Cricetulus griseus: one gene and its partners. The protein of the gene in region 2 purifies or fractionates together with the protein of the main gene of each other region. This does not show direct contact. Links are inferred from orthologs where the notes say so. Each region holds a gene or a part of one and is shown on either strand. Other genes may lie near its edges.

Evidence for each region.
Region 1: the proteins of Ubxn7 (region 2) and Klhdc3 purify together in Homo sapiens (affinity purification with mass spectrometry; 3 studies listed by BioGRID and IntAct, with this or other methods). This does not show direct contact. The link is inferred for Cricetulus griseus from reciprocal best matches to the Homo sapiens genes UBXN7 and KLHDC3.
Region 3: the proteins of Ubxn7 (region 2) and Cul2 purify together in Homo sapiens (affinity purification with mass spectrometry; 6 studies listed by BioGRID and IntAct, with this or other methods). This does not show direct contact. The link is inferred for Cricetulus griseus from reciprocal best matches to the Homo sapiens genes UBXN7 and CUL2.
Region 4: the proteins of Ubxn7 (region 2) and Ufd1 purify together in Homo sapiens (affinity purification with mass spectrometry; 3 studies listed by BioGRID and IntAct, with this or other methods). This does not show direct contact. The link is inferred for Cricetulus griseus from reciprocal best matches to the Homo sapiens genes UBXN7 and UFD1.
Region 5: the proteins of Ubxn7 (region 2) and Topors purify together in Homo sapiens (affinity purification with mass spectrometry; 4 studies listed by BioGRID and IntAct, with this or other methods). This does not show direct contact. The link is inferred for Cricetulus griseus from reciprocal best matches to the Homo sapiens genes UBXN7 and TOPORS.

The regions. Positions count from the first base shown.
Region 1 is NW_023276806.1:256,093,589-256,098,039, forward strand, and holds the end of Klhdc3 (kelch domain-containing protein 3), read right to left. Parts: intron 4,360-4,451; coding exon 4,183-4,359; intron 4,054-4,182; coding exon 3,938-4,053; intron 3,793-3,937; coding exon 3,721-3,792; intron 3,605-3,720; coding exon 3,391-3,604; intron 3,317-3,390; coding exon 3,230-3,316; intron 3,084-3,229; coding exon 2,975-3,083; intron 2,872-2,974; coding exon 2,798-2,871; intron 2,688-2,797; coding exon 2,609-2,687; intron 1,569-2,608; coding exon 1,502-1,568; 3' UTR 942-1,501; downstream 1-941. Other genes in the region: Rrp36 (ribosomal RNA processing protein 36 homolog), read right to left, coding at 612-696. UniProt on the Homo sapiens protein: Substrate-recognition component of a Cul2-RING (CRL2) E3 ubiquitin-protein ligase complex of the DesCEND (destruction via C-end degrons) pathway, which recognizes a C-degron located at the extreme C terminus of target proteins, leading to their ubiquitination and degradation.
Region 2 is NC_048597.1:57,184,486-57,188,744, forward strand, and holds part of Ubxn7 (UBX domain-containing protein 7), read right to left. Parts: intron 2,962-4,259; coding exon 2,814-2,961; intron 1-2,813. UniProt on the Homo sapiens protein: Ubiquitin-binding adapter that links a subset of NEDD8-associated cullin ring ligases (CRLs) to the segregase VCP/p97, to regulate turnover of their ubiquitination substrates.
Region 3 is NC_048596.1:210,659,978-210,664,236, reverse strand, and holds part of Cul2 (cullin-2), read left to right. Parts: intron 1-1,070; coding exon 1,071-1,233; intron 1,234-3,168; coding exon 3,169-3,293; intron 3,294-4,259.
Region 4 is NC_048597.1:70,383,344-70,388,081, forward strand, and holds the start of Ufd1 (ubiquitin recognition factor in ER-associated degradation protein 1), read right to left. Parts: upstream 3,103-4,738; 5' UTR 2,948-3,102; coding exon 2,945-2,947; intron 497-2,944; coding exon 364-496; intron 1-363. Other genes in the region: Cdc45 (cell division control protein 45 homolog), read left to right, coding at 3,769-3,819, 3,968-4,027. UniProt on the Homo sapiens protein: Essential component of the ubiquitin-dependent proteolytic pathway which degrades ubiquitin fusion proteins.
Region 5 is NC_048595.1:102,285,839-102,290,774, reverse strand, and holds the start of Topors (E3 ubiquitin-protein ligase Topors), read right to left. Parts: upstream 3,241-4,936; 5' UTR 3,129-3,240; coding exon of another isoform or gene 3,086-3,128; coding exon 3,083-3,085; exon of another isoform or gene 2,937-3,082; intron 2,559-2,936; exon of another isoform or gene 2,065-2,558; intron 1,901-2,064; coding exon 1,703-1,900; intron 1-1,702. Other genes in the region: Smim27 (small integral membrane protein 27), read left to right, coding at 3,084-3,128, 3,444-3,566; Ndufb6 (NADH dehydrogenase [ubiquinone] 1 beta subcomplex subunit 6), read right to left, coding at 4,195-4,263. UniProt on the Homo sapiens protein: Functions as an E3 ubiquitin-protein ligase and as an E3 SUMO1-protein ligase. Probable tumor suppressor involved in cell growth, cell proliferation and apoptosis that regulates p53/TP53 stability through ubiquitin-dependent degradation.

The DNA of each region.
Region 1 (4,451 bases), on a different chromosome or scaffold from region 2:
AGTTTGATGTGCTCCCAAATTTGGTTGCTTCTGCCTCCAGAGTGAGTGCAGCAGTGTGCTAGCCTGACCCAAACACTTTTTTTTTTTTTTTTTTTTTTGAGACAGGATTTCTCTGGGTAACCACCTTGGCTGTCCTGGAACTTGCTTGTAAACCAGGCTGGCCTTGAACTCACAGAGATCTACCTACCTCTGCCTCCCAATGCTGGGATTAAAGGTGTGCGCCATCACTGTCCGGTTCTAAATACCTTTTCTTAGAGGTAATTGGCTTTGCTGGTTAGACTATTCTTTATCTCCAAGTGCCTGCATACAGCTCAATTAGGGCCCAATTAGCTACATACCCCTACTAAACCTTCTAGGATGAAGCCTCATCCCACTTTTGAGGATCTGCCCAGACCCGGCCTGGAGGCTTATGCCTATAATCCTAGCACTTGGGAGGCTGAGGCAGAACTGCCAAGAGTTCGAAATTGGCCTGAAAACAAAAGCAAGTAACTTCCCTCAACGTCGTAACGCCGGAAGGACTGCCTCTCACCCTCCACCGAACCGCAGCGCCCAGGGTGGCCTTCCGTTCCCGCAGCAGATGCCGCGCACTCCCACCAACCCTAGGCCCTCACCCGTCGGCTGGTCGCCTGCCACGCGCCTGCTCTGCATGGCTCCGCGGGAACCCTGGGCCCCAGTCCTAGCACCAGCTTTCGGCATATTTCGTGTAGTCCGGAGGAAGGCACCACTTCCGCTTACTGATACCCAAGTCCCACCCCCTCCGGGGCCCTGAGCCAATGTGGTGAGGGCTCTGGCAGAAGCGCAGCTCTATACCAGCCAGACCTAAATCCTGGGGTGGATTAGGTACTCCGTGCCATGGGGTTTCTTCAGATGCTAGACTGCCAAGCCAGACTCTGAAGGGAGGCCCTTTACAACTCCATCGTAGCCCCCAGAAACAGGACACGTTTTGAGGTTTTACATTTTATAAAATCAGAGCTGGCTGATCTTCGGGGGTACAGCAACAGCTCAATGATGGGAGAAGCTGTCTGTTGGTCCCCACTCCCGAGGGCCGGGGTGGGGGGTGGGGGTGAGGGGTTTCATGCCAACAGCTGAGGCTCCTTTCAGCTCCCGGGCAGGTGCTCAAGCAGGGAGAGGGATGGTGACGAGGAGAGGGAAGCTCCTGAGGCTCCAACACGGCTTGTCTTCTCCCGACTCCTGTCCCTTTCCAGCACAGCCTGGCTGCCCCGCTGGCCTGGGTCAGAGCAAAGGCCCAGGAGCCGTGGAGGGAGGTGGATGGGAACAGAGCACCAAGGGAAGGGGCCCTCGGCCCAAGGGAGGAGAGTGGCCCTCCCCCCACAACTCCCCACTGAATTCACAGCACAGAAAACACCTCTAGTCCACCAACTCCACGTGGAGGTATACTGAGTCCAGGGTCCCAAGGGGCAGGCAGGTGAGACAGGCAGGGGCAATGAAGACAAGAGCAGGCTCAGGAGGGGAGGCGGCGGAACTTTCTTCCTATAAGTTCCTATCCGTGGGAGGAGACAATGGGGCGGCTGATATTGCTGTTGGTGGTCATCGCATTGAGCTCCCACCTGGAAGGCCAAAAGGGGCAGAGAGGTCAGAGGTGGTCTCTATGGCAAGCTCCGAACTCTTTAGACAAAGCTAGGAACACAGCAGCCCCTCCAATTTCCCACAGCCATCTCTGCCTTACAGCCCTTTAACCACCAGACCCCACCCACCACTCAATCCAATACCACCTACTCATGCACCTCCAAGAGCTTGTAGATTTCCTGTTTTTGTTTATACAGATTCCTGAATCCAAGCACCTGGATAATGTGTACCCACCTCCGTAAACATCCCAGCACACCTCTCCTGCTCTGCAGATCCAGCCCAGCAGGCTTTCTACCTCTTCCCACTAGAGCACCTATTCTTGCTATTTCTATTATCTTCAGGTCCTGATTCATATCCTGTTCTCCCTAAACTTTAGGGCCTAAAGTCTTTCCCACCCACCCCACCCAATTAAATTATGTTTAAACAATCCTATCATTCAACAAAGTCTTAGGAAGTATTCCTTACACCAAGACACTAAGACATGTACTCAGTGTTAAGGTACCTGCACCTGGGATTCATCAGGTCAAACTATAAGCTCTGTGTCACAAAGGACACACACACTTTTGCAAGTAAGAAAGAACTGGCTCAAGGAGTAGGGTTGTCTCAGAGTGGCAAGCGAGAATAAATGACACATGGAGTGACATTTGGAGCATCACTTGAACTCAATACTTGAATTCAGAGGCAAGGAACCAGGACCTTTCTCACTTCTGGAACTAAGAGGGTCCAGTTAGCTTTCCCCTTGCAGTCAGCCCTGTAATTCATTCAGCCACTCTCAACAGTCCCCAAACAAAACTGCTCGAGGAAGCAGGGTTTCTGAGCATGACTATACAACTCAAAAGGTGTTTTTCAGAGCTGACACTTGTCACATGATGGCTGCACCTTCAGCTCCCTTGTTCCTCACAAAAATTTCACCTCCAGAAAATAGAAACGTCTGTCTTCTCCGTTGAGACTGAGCTAACTAGTCACACCTGCGCAGTCACTCACCCTCAAGCAACCCCTCCTCTGCAACCACTTGCTTTACCTGATATCATGGGGCAAACAGGACTGGTCCAGGTTATACTGAATCACGGCCAGCTTGCACAGAGTTTTCAGACTAGGGCCTTTAACGGAAGAGTTAAAGGACAGTCAGAGCAAAGGACAGGTCCCACCCTGATCACCACCCAGAGACAGAGAACCTGACAGTAGGAGCACTTCAGAATTAGGTACTTACTAAAGTCCAAGATGTGTAAGTCAGAATGATCTATGAGGTCAAATTCATCTCCCAGGCCTTCCTCGGGAGAGGGGCTGTACAGACACAAAGAGGAAGAATTAAGTGGCGGAACTACCCACAAGACCCCTTACTCAGATACCTCCCCCTCTTCTGTTACCTCCCCTCTTCTCTCCTAACCTGGTACCCCCGAAGAGGACAATCTTATCACCAACAATACAGCAACACTGACGCCGGCGGGGACATGGCCCTTTCCCCTTTGGTTCAATCTTTTTCCAAGTAAAGGACCCTAAAGAGAAGTTCATAGAGGATCAACACCCGGCCTACCCAGACATCGCTACACACAGTTCACCCCAGGCCCTCACTTATTCAGGGTTACTCTTTGCCTCCCACCTCACTGTCCTTTATCCCTCCCTTAAGGGTAATGTTTTTTACCAGGATTAAACTTCCAGAGGTCATGGAAGTGCCGGTTCAGCCTTGCATTATAGCCACCAAAGATGTACAGCTCCCCATTGTAGCCAACTGGAAGGGCAAAGACATGTCAAGAGCGAATGGGATACCACAGGGAAGTTCACACGAACATAACAGACACTCACAAGCTGAATGGCTCCTGCGCCCCTCAGGCAGCACTGGAGTGTGTGGACAGTCAAGCCAGGCCTCAGTTCTGGTGTCAAAGACTCGAATTCGGTTGCAGTAAATCTCATTGTTGGAATGAAACGGCCCAAAGCGGTCAGCACGGCCCCCAAAGACATACATGTGATTGCCCAGCATGGTGGCTGAATGGAAGTCCCTCCAGCGTGCAGGGTTACCCTAGCCAAGAGCAGAGAGACGGGGAAGAGCCTCAACAGGGGCTCAAGGAGGGGAAGCTAACTGAGCTTCCTAGGATTTCAACAAAAGGTGGGGATGTGACAGAACAAAGGTCAGACCTTTGTGCAAACAAGGGTCCATGTCATAGTGCTGGTATCCAGCTTGTGGATGTCATTGGAAAAGCAGTCTGCCTGAGTGAAGAGAAAGGAAAAACAGGGGTGTCAATGGTTACTCTTTAATCCTCTACACCTTCCAATTAAAGCCTTCTGTTCCACCATGAAAATTTTCCTCTTTTCCTCTTTTTGGTATAAACCTGTAGTTTTTTTCCACACTTACCAGCTGTTCATATCCCCCAAAAATGTACATGATCTTGCCCAGGACACAGGCTGAATGTCCATCCCGGGCCCCAGGAACTGTTCCTGACACTCGGGGTGTAGACCACTTGTGAGTATCTTTGGAAAGAGGAAAGAGAATGCCGTGGGCCAGCTGACACACCCACCTTAGTTCTGGCCTTCCCTTCTCTAAGACTCCACCAACAACCCCCTCCTTAGCCCCAAGGCATCATTTGAGACCATACTCACTGACATCAAAGGCATAGAGGACGTTGCAGGCCCCTTCTGTATCATTGCGCCCACCCCAAAGGAAGACCGTGTCATCGATGAGGACGGTTGAGTGTCCATACCGCATATAGGGTACAACAGGAGGCTGCCCTCGGACAGCAGGCCTCACTGGAGGCAGCTTTGTCCAACGCAAGGACACTGTGGGCACAGTTCTGCTCAGTTATGGGAACCTCCCTCCAGGTTGCCACCTTATCCCAAACTAAACATTCTTACCCAAACCCCCTGACCAC
Region 2 (4,259 bases):
GAGTTTAAGACTAGCTTAGACAAAGCAATGAAACCCTATCTCAAAAAGGTAAAAATACATGCTATAGGGCTAGGATTTAACTCAATGGCAGAGTACTTGCCCAGTAATGGTGAAGTCCTGGGTTTCATTTATCTTTACACACACACACCTACCTACCTGTTAAAGTCATTAAAACAAAAGCCAAAGTGCCAGTCATGGTGGTATATACCTTTAATCCCAGAACCTGGAGGCAGAGGCAGGCAGATCTCTGAGAGTTTGAGGCCAGTCTGGTCTACACAGGAATATACAGTAAGACCCTACCTCAAAACAAAAACCACTATTTCAGGCACAACCAAAAATAAATAAACAAGCAATCAAGAGCAATCAAGGAAATAAGCGTGCGTGCGTGCGTGCGTGCGTGCGTGCGTGCGTGCGTGCGTGCGTGTATACATATATATGCTCCCCAAAAATAAATAAACAAGCAATCAAGGAAATAAGCAAGCGTGTGTGTGTGTGTGTGTGTGTGTGTGTGTGTGTGTGTCTACATATATATGCTCCCCCAAATCAACTGCAAATATCTACTATTGAAGTTCCTATCAACTAAATCATTTTTCAATTTTATTTGTTTGTTTATTTATTTATTAGAACAGACTAGTCTGGAATGTGCCATGTAGACAAGAATGGCCTAGGAATTAACAGAGATCCACTGGTCCACCTCCAGAGTGCTGTAATTAAAGGGGCATAACATATCAGCTGGATCAATATTGATTTCCATTAAAACTCTGAGCCATAGCGGGGCGTTGGTGGCGCACACCTTTAATCACAGCACTTGGGAGGCAGAGGCAGAGGATCTCTGTGAGTTCGAGACCAGCCTGGTCTACAAGAGCTAGTTCCAGGACAGCCTCCAAAGCCACAGAGAAACCCCTTGAAAAGCCAAAAAAAAAACAAAAAAAACAAAAAAAACACCTCTGAGCCATGTTGGGGAATGGGATCACACTTGAGGTGGTTATCAGAATGGTTATCAGAAAACAAAAACAAACAAGCAACAACTTTGTAAGCTATTAATATGATTTCTAAAGTTCCTAACTCATGTAGAAACAATATTCCATTAATCTGAACTTAACTCAACAAAGGAACAATTATATTTGTATGTGACCTGGTTCTTAAATTATGTCTGACTTAATAAAAATAAAACTCTGGCCCTTTGCCTGTTGTATTTAAAATGATTCCATATTTAGTTTCTCTTATTATAAACTATGAGAATTACAAAAGATTAAAAGTATTAGAGTCTTACTTAAGAACTTTTAAATTAAGGGTTTTTTTTGTTTTGTTTTTCTCACTATATAGACCAGGCTGGCCTGGAACTCATATAGATCTTGCCGGCCTCTGCCTCCTGAGTGATGGAACTTCAATACTACGCCCTGCCCCCTTTAAAGCTTTTTATTGTTGTTGTTAAAATCAATTCTTAGCCGGGAATTGTGGGCACACCTGAGATCCTAATATATAAACAGATCTGAAGTCAAGGCCAGCCTAGGCCACAGAGCAATGGTATCTCCAAAAAAAACCCAATGGCCATCTGAGTGCAGAGGCATGTATCTATAGTAGTCCCAACAAGTTTCAAGTCTAATACTTTCCGAAGACTGATGAATTTTGCTCAAAAGTTATATATCTATTGCAAACTCTCACTAATAAAATATAAAGGGCTAGAAAATCAAATATATACAGTTCTAAATACAGTGGTGATGCTTTTAGTGATTAGGCAGGTAATTAAAATGAATGGACTAGAATTTTTAAAAATGATTTATTTACTTTGCGCATTGGTGTTTTGCCAGCATGCATTTCTGTGTGAGGATGTCAGATCCCCTAGAACTGGAATTACATTCATGAGCTGCCATGTGGGGGCTGGGAATTGAACTCAGGTTCTCTGGAAGAGTAGCCAGTGCTCTTAACTGCTGAGCCTTCTTTCCGGCCCCTTAAAAAACTAGTATTTTTTTTTATGCACAATTACATTTATTTATTTGTTTGTTTGTTTGTTTGTTTATTTTGGGGGGGATGCTACATCTTAAACTCAGGTCCCATGTATGTTAGTCACACATTCTACCACTAAGCTATACATTCAACGTTAGTTTTCAAAAACATTTCAAGATAACTCACTTTCCTGAAAAATATAGGAAAATTTACATTTGGAAATATGAACTTCATTAGACTGTATTTGCTTTTTAACTGCTGTGTAGCTTAGAAAAAATGGCCATACTCTAGTTTCTTCAGATGCAAAATAATAATACCAATCTATAAGGTTCTTAAAAAACAAAAAACCCAAACCCAAAATGACTTCGAACTTGCTCTGTAGCTAGGAATGACCTCGACCTTCCAATTCTCCCATAGGCACTCCCTAACTGTTAGGCTTAGACGCATGTGTCACTAAGTCTGTTTATTCAGGGTTGGGGCTTAAACCCAGAACTTCTTGAATGTTAGACACTCTACCAACTGAGTTAAATCCTCAGCCAACAAAATTATTTTTGTTGTATAGCTGGTGACTGTGAAGCACACAAACCTCAATCTCAGGCCAAATATAATCAAGCAGTTGCACCCTGTACTCTTGTCACCTGCCTGCCTGCCCATCTTTAACCCGCACAGTTCTTTTGAGGAATGAAAAGGAGAGAGGATTAAAGAGACAAGATGGTATGCTCTAGAGAATGCAAATACAAAAATTTCCACTATTTTTCAGATTCTTTCAACCTTAAATGTTTTTCAAAGCTAGAAAATTAACCTAACTTTGATAAAAATGCAATTTAGGCAAAGAGTAACTGCTACAATAAATAATAAATTCATACTCTGTGTGTGGTCTGACAGCAGAAACACTTGCTGAACTGGTACTGGGCTCCTCAGCAATTCCTCCACCATCCAAAAACATAGTGACCGCCATCTCCAGGTTGTTGTTACAAGCTTCAAGCATATGTTTTCCTACACTTTCACTTGCGCCTGAAATAGAAAAGACAGTTAAAAATGACATCTTACAGTCAAGCTCACATTAAAACATGCAATTCCCAAGCAGATTAACAGTCCTTCCCCCTTTAAAATGACTTGTACAAAAACATATTTGTTTACTTTTGTCCTGTTGGCTGGTTGGTATAAACACAGAGGTAGAAAATAGCACGACAGTATCACAGCAGTACAATCATTTTTTTCTTTTTCTTTTTTTTTTAAATATGTTGTGGTTTTTTGTTTAAGACAGGTCTCACACTATAGCTCAGCCAAGTGTTCAGCTCAGAAATCCTCTGCCTTAGCCTCTTAGCTTACAAGAATGAGCCACTGCCACCATGCCTGACTATTTATCACTTCTTTGCATGTATGTGTGTGCATGTGAGTGTACATGCACAGAGGTCAAAGGACAATGCCTGGTAGTGTTCCTTGCTTATACCTTGTCAGACAGAGAGTCTCTTACACACCACTACCCATGTTAGGCAAACTACCTAAGAAGCTTCCAGGAGATTCTCTAGCCTCTCATCTCAACGTAGGAAGAAGGAGCACTGGGATGTGTGCTACGGTCACTGCCTTTACATAGATTCTGGGGATTTGAACTCAAATTCTCATGCTTGCATCTCCTTAGCTCCATTTGCAATTTTTTTACAAGGCTGAATTATCTAGTGTGGTGGTATATACAAGCACCTGGGGCTCAGGGGCAGGTGGATCTCTGAGTTCAAATAGTAGTACCCTGTCTCAAAATCAAAACAAAACCATAACAGGGTAAGTATATTTTTTTGTTAGTAATGATAAACTAAAAAATAGGATAAAGAAAAATTAAAGACTGCATTCTAGAAAGTTAGAAATATTTTCTGTTGAAGAAAATGCAACTCAATTAATATTTTATCTATTCAAAAGTTTTTGAGGAGGGGCTGGGCTAGAACTCAAACTCAGAACACATTTTAACATCAAACCAAGAGAAGTAACCAAGACAATTTTGTCTAAGATATAAATATCTGGTAAAAATGTCAATCTTTGCTATTTAAAACTGGTCCAAACAATCATTTGTAAATAAAGCTAGTACAATCTGTTGAGTGAAATGTAAATTGGTAAAACCCTCTTAAAATAATTTTACATGTACCAAGAAATTCCTTTTTTGACTTAGTTGTACCGACTTCTAGAATCAAATCAACATACAATATTACATGCACAAACATGTTCAGAAATATGTTCAGAGTAGATTCAATTAATGAAACAAATTTTGAAACATAAAGCATCCTATAATAGTACAATGTGAACCATAGTATGTATTTGAT
Region 3 (4,259 bases), on a different chromosome or scaffold from region 2:
GTGCATCTCTGTGTCTGGTTTAACCAGCTTTTGGTTTGCAGTGTTATGTTTCAAGCATTTTGGTACTGAATGATTTTTGCTAGATGGTTTAACGGGGAAGATGAAATAATGTAAGGGGACTAGCAAAACAACATAGTGATTACCTTTTAAAATCTAGAGACCTATACTAGTAGGTATCCAATAGAATAGAATCTCGTTTAGTGTTCTAATGAGATATTTCATTATATTTCCAGTGATTCCCTATCCTTATTTCCAGACAACCACCAATCTTTAAAAGCCCCATTCACATAATTCCTTGGGGTCGCTTAAGTCCAGAAACTATTTCCTTAGCTTCTAATCACAGTGGTTTCCTAGTCCACACAACTTTATATGTGTCAGCTAGCATAGTCTTCATGCCTATAATATTGTAGTTTTGTTTTGTTACAGAATTGGGCAGGTGTTTTACCATCTTCCTATCTTTACTAACTTTTTATTGAACTGCATTTTATTTGGACTTGATTTCTTTCCATACAGAATAATCTTTGATAAAAGTTCTTGGTTGACTTGTTTGACTCACTTATAAAAGTCTTTAAGCCAGGCAGTGGTGGTGCATACCTTTAATCCCAGCACTCAGGAGACAGAGGCAAGTGGATCTCTGTGAGTTCGAGACCAGCCTGGTCTATAGATCAAGTTCCAGGACAGCCAGGGCTGTTACACAGAAACCGTCTTGGGTGGGGGGGTCTTTAATGTGACAGCATGGTTTGTGTAGTTTGTTCCCATTTCATAAAATGGAAAAAAGGAAGAATCTACTTGATGTATTGATCTTTACACTTTACTCCTGTTTTGTGTTGGATTCCTGACACAGCAGGTGATTTGGGCTGATCAATGAAGATAGTTCTTGTTCAGAATGTAGTGGGGGGATGTAGGTGACAGGCAGTAACCTAAGTAGATCTTAAATGAATTATAAATTTGAGTTGAAATTGTTAAAGCTTTTCCATATACCCTGACCTGCATCCCCCTAGAGGTAGTGAGAGCTAGCTGATATTAAACTTTGTGTCGTAGTTCATAATTGTAAAAATATATTTCTGTAGGTTCTAGGTAGATTAAAAGATGAAGAAATTAGATGTCGAAAATATTTGCATCCAAGTTCATATACTAAAGTGATTCACGAGTGTCAGCAGCGTATGGTAGCAGACCACTTACAGTTCTTACATGCAGAGTGCCACAACATCATTCGGCAAGAAAGAAAGAATGGTAAGTGCACCCTGTGGACATGTGAGTGGGAATTAAATGATACATAGAAGATTTCTATCGTTTGTTACTTACTTTGCACACTCCCTGGTATAGTATATGTTCTTTTCTGACTCAATATAGTTTAGAGTTTTGGAAAAGCATTTCCAAAGTACAGTCTAAAGTAAAAAGATGAATTAGGGAAATGTGTTTATGCTTTTATATATCTCAAGCGTTACTCTGCTTAATTTGAGAATTCCTTATCTGCAATAGGAAATCAGACTATGGAAAAAGAAGTACAGAATCAGGAAGGATAGGATAAAACAGGGATGCTGAATCTAACTCAGTTTAAAGAAATACTAGCAATAAAAGGTGAAAACACTTTTTTTTTAATACTTGATGTGTAGTCAGAATAAATACAAGACTGTAGTTGTCCCAACCTGCGGGACAGTAACCTAGGGCAAGAAGTCCAGGGAGGGGAACGGGAACAAGAGACTTGAGAGAATGACCACAAGACAGTATTCTGATCAAGTGGCAAATTTTATTTTTTCCAGGCTAGCTTATATAGGCAGTAGTATGGGGTAAAGGGGAGGGCGAGAAGAGGCCAAGAGCCAGGTGGGAGTATAAACTGATGCAGCTGTATTTGCAAAGCTATCACTGAGTGCCAAAGTAATATATATGTATATTTCATGGTCCAACAAGTATGCTAGACATGGGACTCCTTCCCTATGCATACATACATGCGTGTACAAAAATGTACAAGGGAGCCAGGCATTGGTGGCCCACGCCTTTAATCACAGCACTTGGAGGCAGAGGCAGGCGGATCTATGTGAGTTAGACCAGCCTGGTCTAACAAGAGCTAGTTCCAGGACAGCCTCAGAGAAACCCTGTCTCGAAAAACCAAAAAAAAAAAAAAAGTTGCTAAGCTAACTTACAGAGTCACATGAATAATACTACAACCTTAAAACTGCCCAGGATAGGATCCAAAGCTACAAGAGATACCCTGTCTCGGGGAAAAAAAAAAAAAAAACCGTACAAGGGTCTTCATAGCAACATTCTTTGTAATGACTAGAACTAATCCACATACCCAATGATGCTTATACCAGAGACTATTACAGAAGAGAAATGAACACACTAAACCTAAACACAACACAGATGAACCTTAAATGTAAGAAACAAAAGAAATCAGACAGAAACATTGTGTAATTGTTTATGTTCATAGTTCAAGCCAGGTGAGCTCAACCTGCGGTTACTGTGGTTTGCAGAAGAGCAGTAGTGGTCAGGAGATGGCTGTAGGGCATTGCTAGATAAGGAGTATCTGTTTTTAAGCCTGAGTGTGCACATATGGGGTGTTGTACTAATTTACAGAGTCATACAGACAGTTGTCTGCATGTATATTAATATCTCAACAAGTCATTTAAGATGAAGACAGTATGCAGTAGCATTATTTCTCACTGTTCAGTGTCACAGGAACTTCTTGCTTGGTTCTCTGCTTAGAAGGATCTCACTATAAGATCACAAACCATAGCATCTTCAGGGATTTATACTACAGATATTCTTCCCCAAGTTATTAATCACAACATCAATCATTTCCCAGTAATTGTAACAAAGCTGTGAAATACATGGAATTGCTTTATGTACTAGTATAAGATACTTGTAAGTTTAGATAGCCTGAAGTTGCTAATAGCACATACAATGCACAATAGTACTTGAGTCAAAGGAAAGAAGGGGAAGAAATATGTGTATTTTCTTGAATTTTCCTCCGTCATCATTAAATAGTAAAGAACAACAGCATTGCTTTCTTGTGGAGAGGGAGGTAAGGTGACTGGGAAGTGAGAGTGTATGTTTGTGTTAAAGTGGGGCGTGCCTTTTATCCACACATTCCTTTTAACTTCTCCATTTTAAAGCATGCATTACGTAATAAGGTTGAGAACTTAATAAACGCTCTTTTTCTCTCAGACATGGCAAATATGTACGTCTTGCTCCGTGCTGTGTCCAGTGGCTTACCTCATATGATTCAGGAGCTGCAAAATCATATTCACGATGAGGGCCTTAGAGCAACCAGTAACCTAACTCAGGAACACGTGAGTGTATAGAAGGGTAGAGCACACTCTCTTAACCAGACATAGAGAGGTTTTCTTTTGACCTTGATGGTTTATAAAGAAGGGCTTTGTCATAAGAAACTAAGCCACTTATTTATATTCAAATGTTTTAAATCTCGAACTTAGTGAGTTCTTGGGATTACTAAATTGTGAGAAGCTGTTGAGAGCAGCTGCTTCCTAACAGTACTGATTGCCACGAGCATTTGTTAACCTTCTTGCAGTTTCTATATAATTTTGTTTCTTTGTAAGCGGCAGATTTAAAAACCTTCCCTGCCTCTAGCTGGCCCCAGTCACTCACCCTCAGCTTCCCTAATCCTCATCTTTTTGAAGAGGCTCCTACCAGCCAGTGACCATATATCATAGGTGTTATTACTGGCCATGTTCAAAATTTGTTGCTAAGTTTGCAGAGTTTTGAGTGACACTGAACAAAAACTGAGCTTCATTTCAAGGCTGAGATGTGAGAATACGAATTTATGTCACTTTCAAATTCAGTCATTTTCTTTGAGAGGGAAACTCAATTTTAAGTATATTTCGACCCTTTAGCTTGGGGGAGTTAACTCTGCCCAATTCCAGGGTCCCATTCTCCCAGTAACTGGCTGTCTAATCCTCTTCTAGCTGCCTGGTGTTGACAGGCCTGGGACTTAGGGGTATGTATGTAGGTTTATATGGTAGAGGACTTGTTAGGCCTGGTGTTGAATAGCTGTCCCATTTGATAGAAGAGGAGTCTTAGATTTTTTCTTTTACTTGCCTCATTTATTTTGTTTAATGTTCATTGGTATTTTGCCATGGGTGTCAGACCCACCTCCCCCCAGACTGGAATTACAGACAATTGTGAACTGCCATGTGCTGGGAATTGAACCCAGGTCCTCTGGAAGAGCAGTCAGTGCTCTTAACCACTGAGCCATCTATCCAGCCCCAAGTCTTAGATTTTTGTGGCCAGTGTAGCTA
Region 4 (4,738 bases), about 13 Mb from region 2:
TTCAGGAATATTAAGTAAATAAAAATAAAAGGGATAGAACAAAGTAGAGGCAAGATGTCTACTTTCTGATGCATTTTTTAAAAGCTTTAAACAGTGGTTTTAGGGTAACCAGAATTTCATAATACTTTTCATAAAGAATCTTACTTGTTATTTACTTTTGTGCTCTGAATGGCACTTGGTCATCAAACATAATTAGCACCCTGCTCCCACCATCCATGCCCTAGGATGAGTGACATTTTTACTACAATGCTAGTGTTTGATGCCCACATGCAAAATAAGGGCTATAGAAGACTACAAGGCTCATTTCATTCATAGACTTTAGGGCAGGAAAGGTTACTATTCAAAATAAAAACAAGCACATACTCTTCCCTCCTTTCTCCACATCTGACCTGTCATTAGGCCCTGCTAGCATAGACACGGAGAAGCAGCGATACTGCGTAGAGAAGCGGTTCTGGAAGACCCGGGGAATTGGGTGGTCAAACATGTTGAAAGAAAACTAGAAGGAAGAAAGAAATGGTATTATTATCAAATCAAACAAAGGTAGTTAAAAAACAAAACAAAAAAGATGAGGATTGTGACTTAGCCTCCCACATAACTGGGACTACAGTGCAGCCACTGTATCTAGCTCAAAGGTATATTTCTCCAGACCAAAGACTAAGCATTTATCAGTGCTGATAAATGTGGCCAAAGAATGTAATCATTAAAATCCCATTAACCAGAGTGTTCTGGCAGCACATGAACCTCAAATCCTTTTTTCTCCCCATCTCATCCCTCAGGTCCAGTTTCCATTATCTGTAGACACTGCAACTTTACTAAAGTAAGATTTAGTCATACCAGGCCTTCCCTTCCCATCTTTTTGCTACTATTCCCTATTCTCAGATCAAGGCTGGACCTTACACATACCTCACAGAAACTCATTACCAACCACCTACCATCTCCTAACTTGGCACATTCCTGCTGGGCTTGTAACTATCTGGAGCCTTTTTTCCCCCCTCCACCCTTAACTTAGAACATCACCTCTTTTTCTGAGTGCCTACTATTTGCACAGCTCTGATGTGGGCTTTAAGGAACATCACTTTAGTAATGTTTGGGTACTAAGAAGGCAGATACCACCTCTGCCCTGGTGAATCTCATGTTAAAGACAAGGAGGATAACAACAGAACACATATGTCTGGGGGTTTAAAGACAAGAAGTAGGAATGGGGACAGAAAGCACCTGAGAATGGATGTTAAGCAAGTGTTCAAGAGGACATCCTCATTAGAGGCCTACATGTCACAAGTCAACTGGGCAGGAAAACATTCCAGGTGCTAGAAAAGCAGTTTGTCAATGTATGCTTGTGTATGCCAGGCTTCATCTGGCTCTTTACAGCAATCCCTTTGTTTCTCCAGCAAACCCCCCTTTCTTGGCCATGAGTCAGGGTTGGTGCTTCTCTGGGATGCTCACAGTACAGAACAGACTGTGTTCTCAAACCAGCAAGCAAAGTCAAGACATGAGAGACTGCACCCAAGATAGTCTGCTGACCTCTCATGCAGATACAGACTCAAACGTAACAACCCTCCCATCTCTGAGATCTGCCTGCCTCTGCCTCCCGAGTGCTGGGATTAAAGGTGTGTGCCACCACCGTCTGGCTAAATCAAATTTCTAAGTTCATTTATGTAACTAGCACTGAGTACTTGATGTGTTAGGCACACACACATTCCCACCAAAACATCTTAAAGGATGGTTCTTCGGTTACAAGCACAGACATTTTCAATCTTTTATCTTTTTCTCTAAGCACCAGAACTGTTTGACTCTGTCTTAGGTGCATAACCCACAAAACCCATTTTGAATGAACAAAGCTCCTTCCCTATGCCACTCTTGATTCTGTCTGAAACATAAAAACATACATAGAGAATGCAGCAACCTAGCAATATCCCTCCAACATGATCTTCTGCTCCTCCTTTACTGCTCCTATCGTCCATGTTTAAAGCTTTGATGTCTAACACATCAAGCACTGAGTGCTGGTTACATAAATGAACTTAGAAATTTGGTTTAGCCGGGCGGTGGTGGCACTCGCCTTTAATCCCAGAACTCGGGAGGCAGAGGCAGGCAGATCTCAGATTTGGAGGCCAGCTTGGTCTACAGAGCGAATTCCAGAACAGCCTCCAAAGCTACAGAGAAACCCAGTCTCGAAAGGCAAACAAACAAACAAAAGATTAAACAGTGACACTCTGAGTAAAATCTAATAACCACTTCTTGTTTTTAACAAACTTGTGACATGGAGTCGACATCACATGCAGTAGCAATGAAACACCGCTGCAGCCCGATGGGTGTGACTCCAAATCTCAGGGCCTCCATTTTCGTGATTACTAACCCTGTAAGTTTTAGATCTCTCGGTTCCTATAATAACTACCTACGTTCCTAGAGGACTGCAGGAATTAAACAAGGGTGCTGACAGGATAAAGAAAAAGAAAAAGAAAAAAAAAGCGCCCAATATATCACCTACTGTCGTTATCACAACGTGATGAACACAATGTGACATATATCCTAAGACATAATCTCTACTGCATAAAAGGCCACGGAACTTAGGCAAAGCTTAATGTCCTTCGGATTTTCCTCCCTCGCGCCACTCCCCAGGAACGCTCCAGTTAACTTTGAGTTCATGGAAACCTGTTGCGTGTCGAGATATTAGGAGAACTATGGACACAAAGTAGCAGGTTCCTTTCTATCTTCAAGGGCTGCAGTCCCGCCGAGAAGCCTACAAGTCATGACTCCGACAAGCCAAGAGGCAAACAGCCGGCTTGTAACTACGGATCCCACTTTGAACATAAGCGCTTGGGACGGCGGAGCGGGCCGGAGGCAGGCCCGGGTGACTCGGCACCTCCGCCGCCAGGTCCAGGCCCTCCCCGCCGAGCGCCGCAGGCAGCACTGGCCTCCCCCGGCTCCCGATTCCCAGCCAGCTTACCATGACTGACAGTACTTGGTGACGCCGCTTCTCTTCGTGAACCTTACAATAGAAACCCAGAGCTCCCTCTACACAACCGCGGCCGCCGCTCTGAAACCCAGAACCCGCGAGAGGCTCGCCGGAAGTGACGAGAGAGATACCGCAGGGAGCGTCCCGAGGCCTAGCGTCACCAGAGAAAAGCAGAAAATCACGGAGATGCCTGAACTTTGAAAAGTAGTCAAAGAAAACACTAAAACACTTGATCACTTATTTCACAGGACAGCGACTATTCCTGATGCTTAGATTCCCTCCCGAACAAACTTGGTAGGCTCCATTCTTGTTATTGACTACAATACCCAGAATGCAGCTAGAGCTTCCGGCTTTGGCTTCAGCCATTACGGACTCGGGCGGAAGTACGTGCTATAGTGCCTTGAAAACGTAATTGCCGTCCTCAAACGATATGTAACTGAATTTACTATGTCTAGGAGTGTATTTTCCTGAGTATCCCAGGATGAGATGGTAGGCTTTTCTTCCCGAAGTAAAGATGTCCGCCGAGCGTAGGGGGTTTTGGGTAACTGGAAGTCAAAGACAGTAACAAGGTTCGCAGCCTGACTCAAGATGATGCTTCTTTGGGGGGGTGGGGCGGGGGCGGGATTTCTCCAGCGGCGAATAGCAGAGCTTTATTGGCTGTCCCCAATAGGACCCAATCAGAAAGAAGGAAAGGCTAAGAACTATTGGCTGCTGGCGCGGGCCAATTGGAAGAGCCGTGATTTGGCGGGAGTATTCACCACCTCCCCGGCTACCGGTGTCTCAGCGCCAGCTCTGGGTATCCGGCCGCAGTGGCTATGTTCGTGTCCGATTTCCGCAAGGAGTTCTACGAGCTGGTCCACAATCAGGTGACTCCCATTCCACCATCCTGGTCCAAACCTTATTTGAGGGGAAGGGATGAGGGCGAGTGTCCGTGAATGGGCCAGCAGGACCGGGTGTTGCCACAGAGTTTGAAGTGCCTGTGCTCAACTCACCTGTCTGCATTTCCTCCAACAGAGGGTCCTTCTCTTTGTGGCCTCGGATGTGGATGCCTTGTGTGCTTGCAAGATCCTTCAGGTGAGCTTTGGATACCTTAGGAAGACAGGGCAGGGGGCAAGAGGTGAGGGAACAGGGTTGGCCCCAGCAGGAGGGTGGGGCGCAGAAAGGGAGGGACCAGAGAGAGCTGAGGAGCTGGTGACCCAAAGAGGGGCCCAACGGTCCCTCTCTGAACTATACTGGGAGACAAGTGGTGTTTTTGTTTGTTTGTTTGTTTGTTTACAAAAACTCACTTGAAAATGGTTTCACTCCTGAAATCTTTGAACCTATAAATGACTATCAAAGATGGAATTTGAGAGAGGACTGTGATAGTTGGGAGTGGCATCATAGTGAGTGCTGGAAATACAGGAGTCTGTTAGAGAGGATCATTAGTTGGGGCTTTAACTATACTGTGGTTTTTTACAATAAGTGGGGGTCAGGAACTTTTCAGAACACCTGTAATTAAAGTTACTTTCCCCCTTAGTGTTTGACTTTGGCAAAATTTGACAGATTTGGCAGAACTGTACACTGAACACTTACATCCCTGCCTCCTGGCTTCTCCTATTTTTGTTTGTTTGTTTGTTTGTTGTTTCTGACAGGGTTTCTCTGTGTAACCCTTGCTATCCTGGAACTAGCTCTGTAGATCGGGCTGGCCTCGAATTCAAAGATCTGCATGCCTCTGCCTCTCAAATGCTGGAATTAGTGCGCGCCACCACTGCCCAGCTCCTACCAAACAGCATATCACATAGATCT
Region 5 (4,936 bases), on a different chromosome or scaffold from region 2:
GTAGGCCTGGCTGGCCTGCAACTCAGATCTGCCTGCCTCCTGAGTGCTGGGATTAAAGGCATGTGACACCACACCATGTTAGAATCACCATTTCTTAGCTTGATTCCTCCAGAGACCAAGCCGGGACAAACATTCTCAATTCTAAAATGGAATACCAGCAGTCATTTAAATTTTTTTTGGGGGGTGGGGGTGGGGGAATGAGTTTCAAGGCAGGATTTCTCTGTTGCTTTGGAGGTTGTCCTGGAACTAGCTCTTGTAGACAGAGATCCGCCTGCCTCTGCCTCCCGAGTGCTGGGGTTTAAGGTGTGTGCCACCACCGCCTGGCAACCAGCACTCATTTGAAAGAGGACAAAAAAAGTTATGTGAAGGGATATAATTCATGTGCTTGATGAACAGTAAGAACTCAACATAGCAGCATAAGTTATGGAAAAGTTTGATTTTGATAGTGACCATCATCAATAACTGATAGGTTTCCAAAAATAGTCAATAGTAATAAATAACAATTATATACCTAATGTATCTAAGCAAAGTGGTTAATAACATTCACAAGTAGATGTAGACAAACAAGAACAATGGCTGTTAAAAGCCATCTGGGTTCTATTTGTAAGTCTGAGTAATCAATTCTAAAAGTTATAGGACATAAGTGACCAAACTTAATTCTTATTTTGAGGGGTGGTTTCAAGACAGGGTTTCTCTGTGTACCCCTTGTTGTCCTGGAACTTACTCTAAGCTACACTGGCCTCGAACTCAGGGACTAGCCTGCCTGTCTCCCAAGCGCTGGGATTGAAGGCTGGAGCTAGATTTCAAATATCAGTATAAAAATAATTTATCCGAACCAGGCACCCTGGAATACCCTGCATTCCCAGCACACTGGAAGAGGAAGGCAAGAGTAGTCAGAAAATCAAGGTCATCCTCTGCTACAAAAGAACTCCAGGACAGTCTTGGCTACAAGAGTCCCTGCCCCAAAATGGGGCATTAGGGGTTTGCTTGAGAACTATTCCCCGTGAAAGCCACTCACTCCAGATAAGATGATTGAGTGCGCCAACTGCGGCTTTTCCTTTTGCATTTCATGTACTAAAAATCCAAACCCTCAATTCCTCCCAAACAACAATCTCTACCTATTAGTAGCTTAAATCTTAAGCACCTGTTTCTCTGTTTCTTAATCTAGAAACTTACCCACCAAAAAACGCTTTCCAGTTTCAGTCTTAAATCCCTGTGCTTACTTCTTCACTGCCCCTCTCCAGTCTACAAATCAGAATTACCAGCCCAGAAGGAAAGCTGCACTAACTAGATGTGTGATGAAGTTGCAAGGCACACAAACCCTGCCCGCCCACATGTTTAATACTGCACAACTTCACTGTCTTAGTGGTTTCCTTGCCCTGAAAACGGCTGGCATGGATGGAAAGACAGACACACGACATACATTACATAACAAGGATCAACTGAAATGCTACTCCCATTTCACAGACTGGGTCCAGGGGCTGAGGACTCGCCAAGGTCACACTTCCTAGCAGGGGCCGCAGTTCTGCTGGGACACACTGCACTTTCCAGTATTCATTCAAGCTCGCGCTCCTCGGGCGGCGCTGTGTGACACTCCCCTCCTTCGCCCACCGCCACCGATCCACAGGTGCCCCCGTGTCGTAGCGACATCGCGACCCCGGCCTTCGGAGGCCCGTTCCCGGTCCCGCCAAACCGGACTCACCTCCGAGGACGCGGGGGCAGGCCCGGCCGGGCCGCTGGAGGCCAGCTCCCGTCGGTTCAGTAAGCTCGGCCGGTGGCGGCAGGATCCGCGAAGGCGTACCCGGCGGCTTCGGCGCCTCCCCTCTTCAGCAGGCGCCAGAGGGGGCGCTTCTCCCTCCTCGCGAGACAGCGGAGACCCCGGCGGCGGCGGCTGCGACCCCTGTGACGTAGAACGCTCATCACCAAAGGCAGTTTGGGGGCGGAGAGAAGGCGAGGCCCATCCTTCCACCCCCTCCGAGCCCGCCCAGCAAACGGCGGCCCCACCCCCCACGTTCCGGGCGCGTGCGCCGTGGAAGGAGCCCGCAGGGGGCGGAGCCTAGGGCAGACGCCAGACCCTGCCCAGCCCCCCACCACGGGGGGCGCGTGTTTGGGGGTGGGGGCGGAAAGGCACGAACTCATCGCTGCCAAATAACGCGGAAAAACCGAAACCCCACGAACTTCGACGAGTTCCTGTAATCCTCTCGAGTGTAACAAGAATCGGACCGAGTCCCACAGAGCCTTCGTCCCCATGTCTTCTTTAGCTGGGATGAACACCAGGCGTCGAGCACTTCCCCAGCCATCGCCTGTCTCCTAGCGGCCTGCTTCCCCTTCCCGCCCCTGCAATCCAGACTAAAACCGTGTCTGACATCCGCGCCCGAAGCCGCGCAGTCCGGGCTCCGCCAGCCAGGGCTCCTGGGCGGACGTCGCCAGCATCCTCAGGCCGAGCTGCCCGCCTGCCAAACTGCTCTCCTTGGGACTTGGTATTTCACATTTGCTGAGGTCCTAGACTCGATTAAACATCCCGTCGACACTTGCTGAGTGGCAGGTCCACCATGCGGGTAACACATTTTTAAAAATGCCACATATCTAAAAACATTCCCAGTAGTAAGCGACAGCATTCTTACTAGACGTTCTCGATGAATGGCCGAACTAACAGTTTACAACGATTCTCCAGTTACATAAGGGAGTGGATGATACTGTTCGTGCCAAGCATACACATATAATCGTTTATCCACATCTTGTGGAAACGGACGCGGGTATGGGACGGCAACTTTAATTCTAACAGCCTATTTTCAAATAAACTCACATGCACACGATGGCACACTATTCTGCGCTATAAGGCACTGCGACTGGAGGAAAAGGGGACTGAGGAATGTCCATCTAAGCGCAAAAAAAGCGCGATTTTAAAATTTTTTATTTCCTCCGCTGCCTGAAAGGCGGGCTAGGCCCGGATCACGTGACGCGCCCCAACTTCGGGCGGAAGCGCGCCGGGAACCGCGGAAAGATGGCTGCTGCAGCGGGGCGGACGGCTTCGGGGAGCGAGCTCTAGGTCCGCGCCACCCCACCCCTGCTGATCCCTTACCATGAGGCCCGTGAGTCGCCGCACCCTGGACTGGATTTACTCCGCGGTAGGTAGCGAGGACGATGGAACTCCCAGGCGCCGCACCCCTCTGCCCGCGAGGCAAAGGCCGACTGTTCGTCTACAGCTCGGAACTCCAAAACCCATTCCTATATTGAGCGTTTACGCCCCGCCCCCGACTCCGCCTCTTCCTGGAGGACACGCTTTTCCGCCCCTGACGTCATGGCTATCGGGCCCTGGCCTCAGGCCTGGGTCCTAGTGCCTGACAGGCTGCTCCCACCTGTAGCTAGCTGGTAACCTGGCCTGAGCAGGCCAACTACCCAGCACATTGATTTTTCTTTTCGCCTTTCCTCCCCTCTTTTAGTTGCTACTTGTGATCGTTTTGCTCTCCTGGGGATTCGTCATCTACGCATCAACTGTAGCTGCACGACGACAGCTACAGAAGGCTTTTCCAGACAAATTCTTTGAAATGAACGAACTTTGGTAGTTCCCAGCAAAACCTGGTTTTGTCCCTCAAATGGCACCTATGTAGACTTAAAAGTAAAATTCACAATACAAAATTGTGTATGGTCTTTTGTGATACGCGTTAGCATGCTAATTTTTCATATGGATCAAACAGCCCTTTCTTTCTGTATCAGGTTATAGATTTTTTGTTTGTTTGTTTTTTGTTTTTCGAGACAGGGTTTCTCTGTGTAGCTTTGGAGTCTATCCTGGAACCGGCTCTTGTAGACCAAGCTGGTCTCAAACTCACAGAGATCCGCCTGCCTCTGCCTCCTGAGTGCTTGGACTAAAGGCGTGTGCCACCACTACAGGGCCAGATCATAGATTTTCATTCTAGTGCTTCAAACACTTCATAACCTCATGCCACATCAGTATGTAAACAAACCTATCACGTGATTAAAACGTGTTTTGCATCCTGTTTATCAAAACGGACAGGAAAAAAGTAGCTGATGGCTCTTTAGTATTTGTCTTTTTTACTGTCGGTCTCAAGAAATATTAACAACACTCTGAGAATAAGCTTTATTAGTTACTTTTCCAGGAAACAGATTCAGTAAATACGAACTATATGAAGAGACTTTTGCTGTTACACAAGTCTTTTAAGTTTTAAGTGCTCTTTAATGATGTTGATCAGGAAAATCTTTCATTGGCGGAATTACTTCTCCAGTCTCCAGAATTGTATCACCCTAGGAAAACAAGTAAATGTTTAGTAAACTGTAAAATGTTTCAACATCTATTTAACACAATAAATTACTGTAAGCATACTTTACATTTTGTTAACTCACAATTAAGCCAGGCATGGTAGTGCATACACGTTTAATCCTAGTACTCTAAAGGCAGAGGCAGGTGGATCTCTAAATTTGAAGCCAGCCTGGTCTATACAGCAAGTTCCAGAACAAATAAGACTACATAGAGAGACCCTATCTCAAATAAACAAACTTTCAAAATTATTTTCCATTTTACTTAAAACATTTAAATTTGGGGGCTGGAAAGATGGTTCAGTGGTTAAAAACACTGCTGCTCTTCCGGAGGACCTGGGTTCAATTCCCAGCACCCACATGGCAGCTCACGGCTGACTCTAACTCCTGTTCCAGGGGACCAGACACCCTCATACAGACATACATGAAGGCAAAACACCAATGTGCATAAAATAAAAATAATTTTTTTAAAAATCTCAATTTGGATGCTATATTTCCACCTATATTGATGTATATATTATATGTATATATATATATATAGTTTAAAAAGATTAATCAAACTATTGCATTAGGACTTAAAAATTAAAGAGTATAGACATAATAAAGTACATATTTAAACTGTATAATTATGAAGTATGGATACACCTGTGAGACCATCACC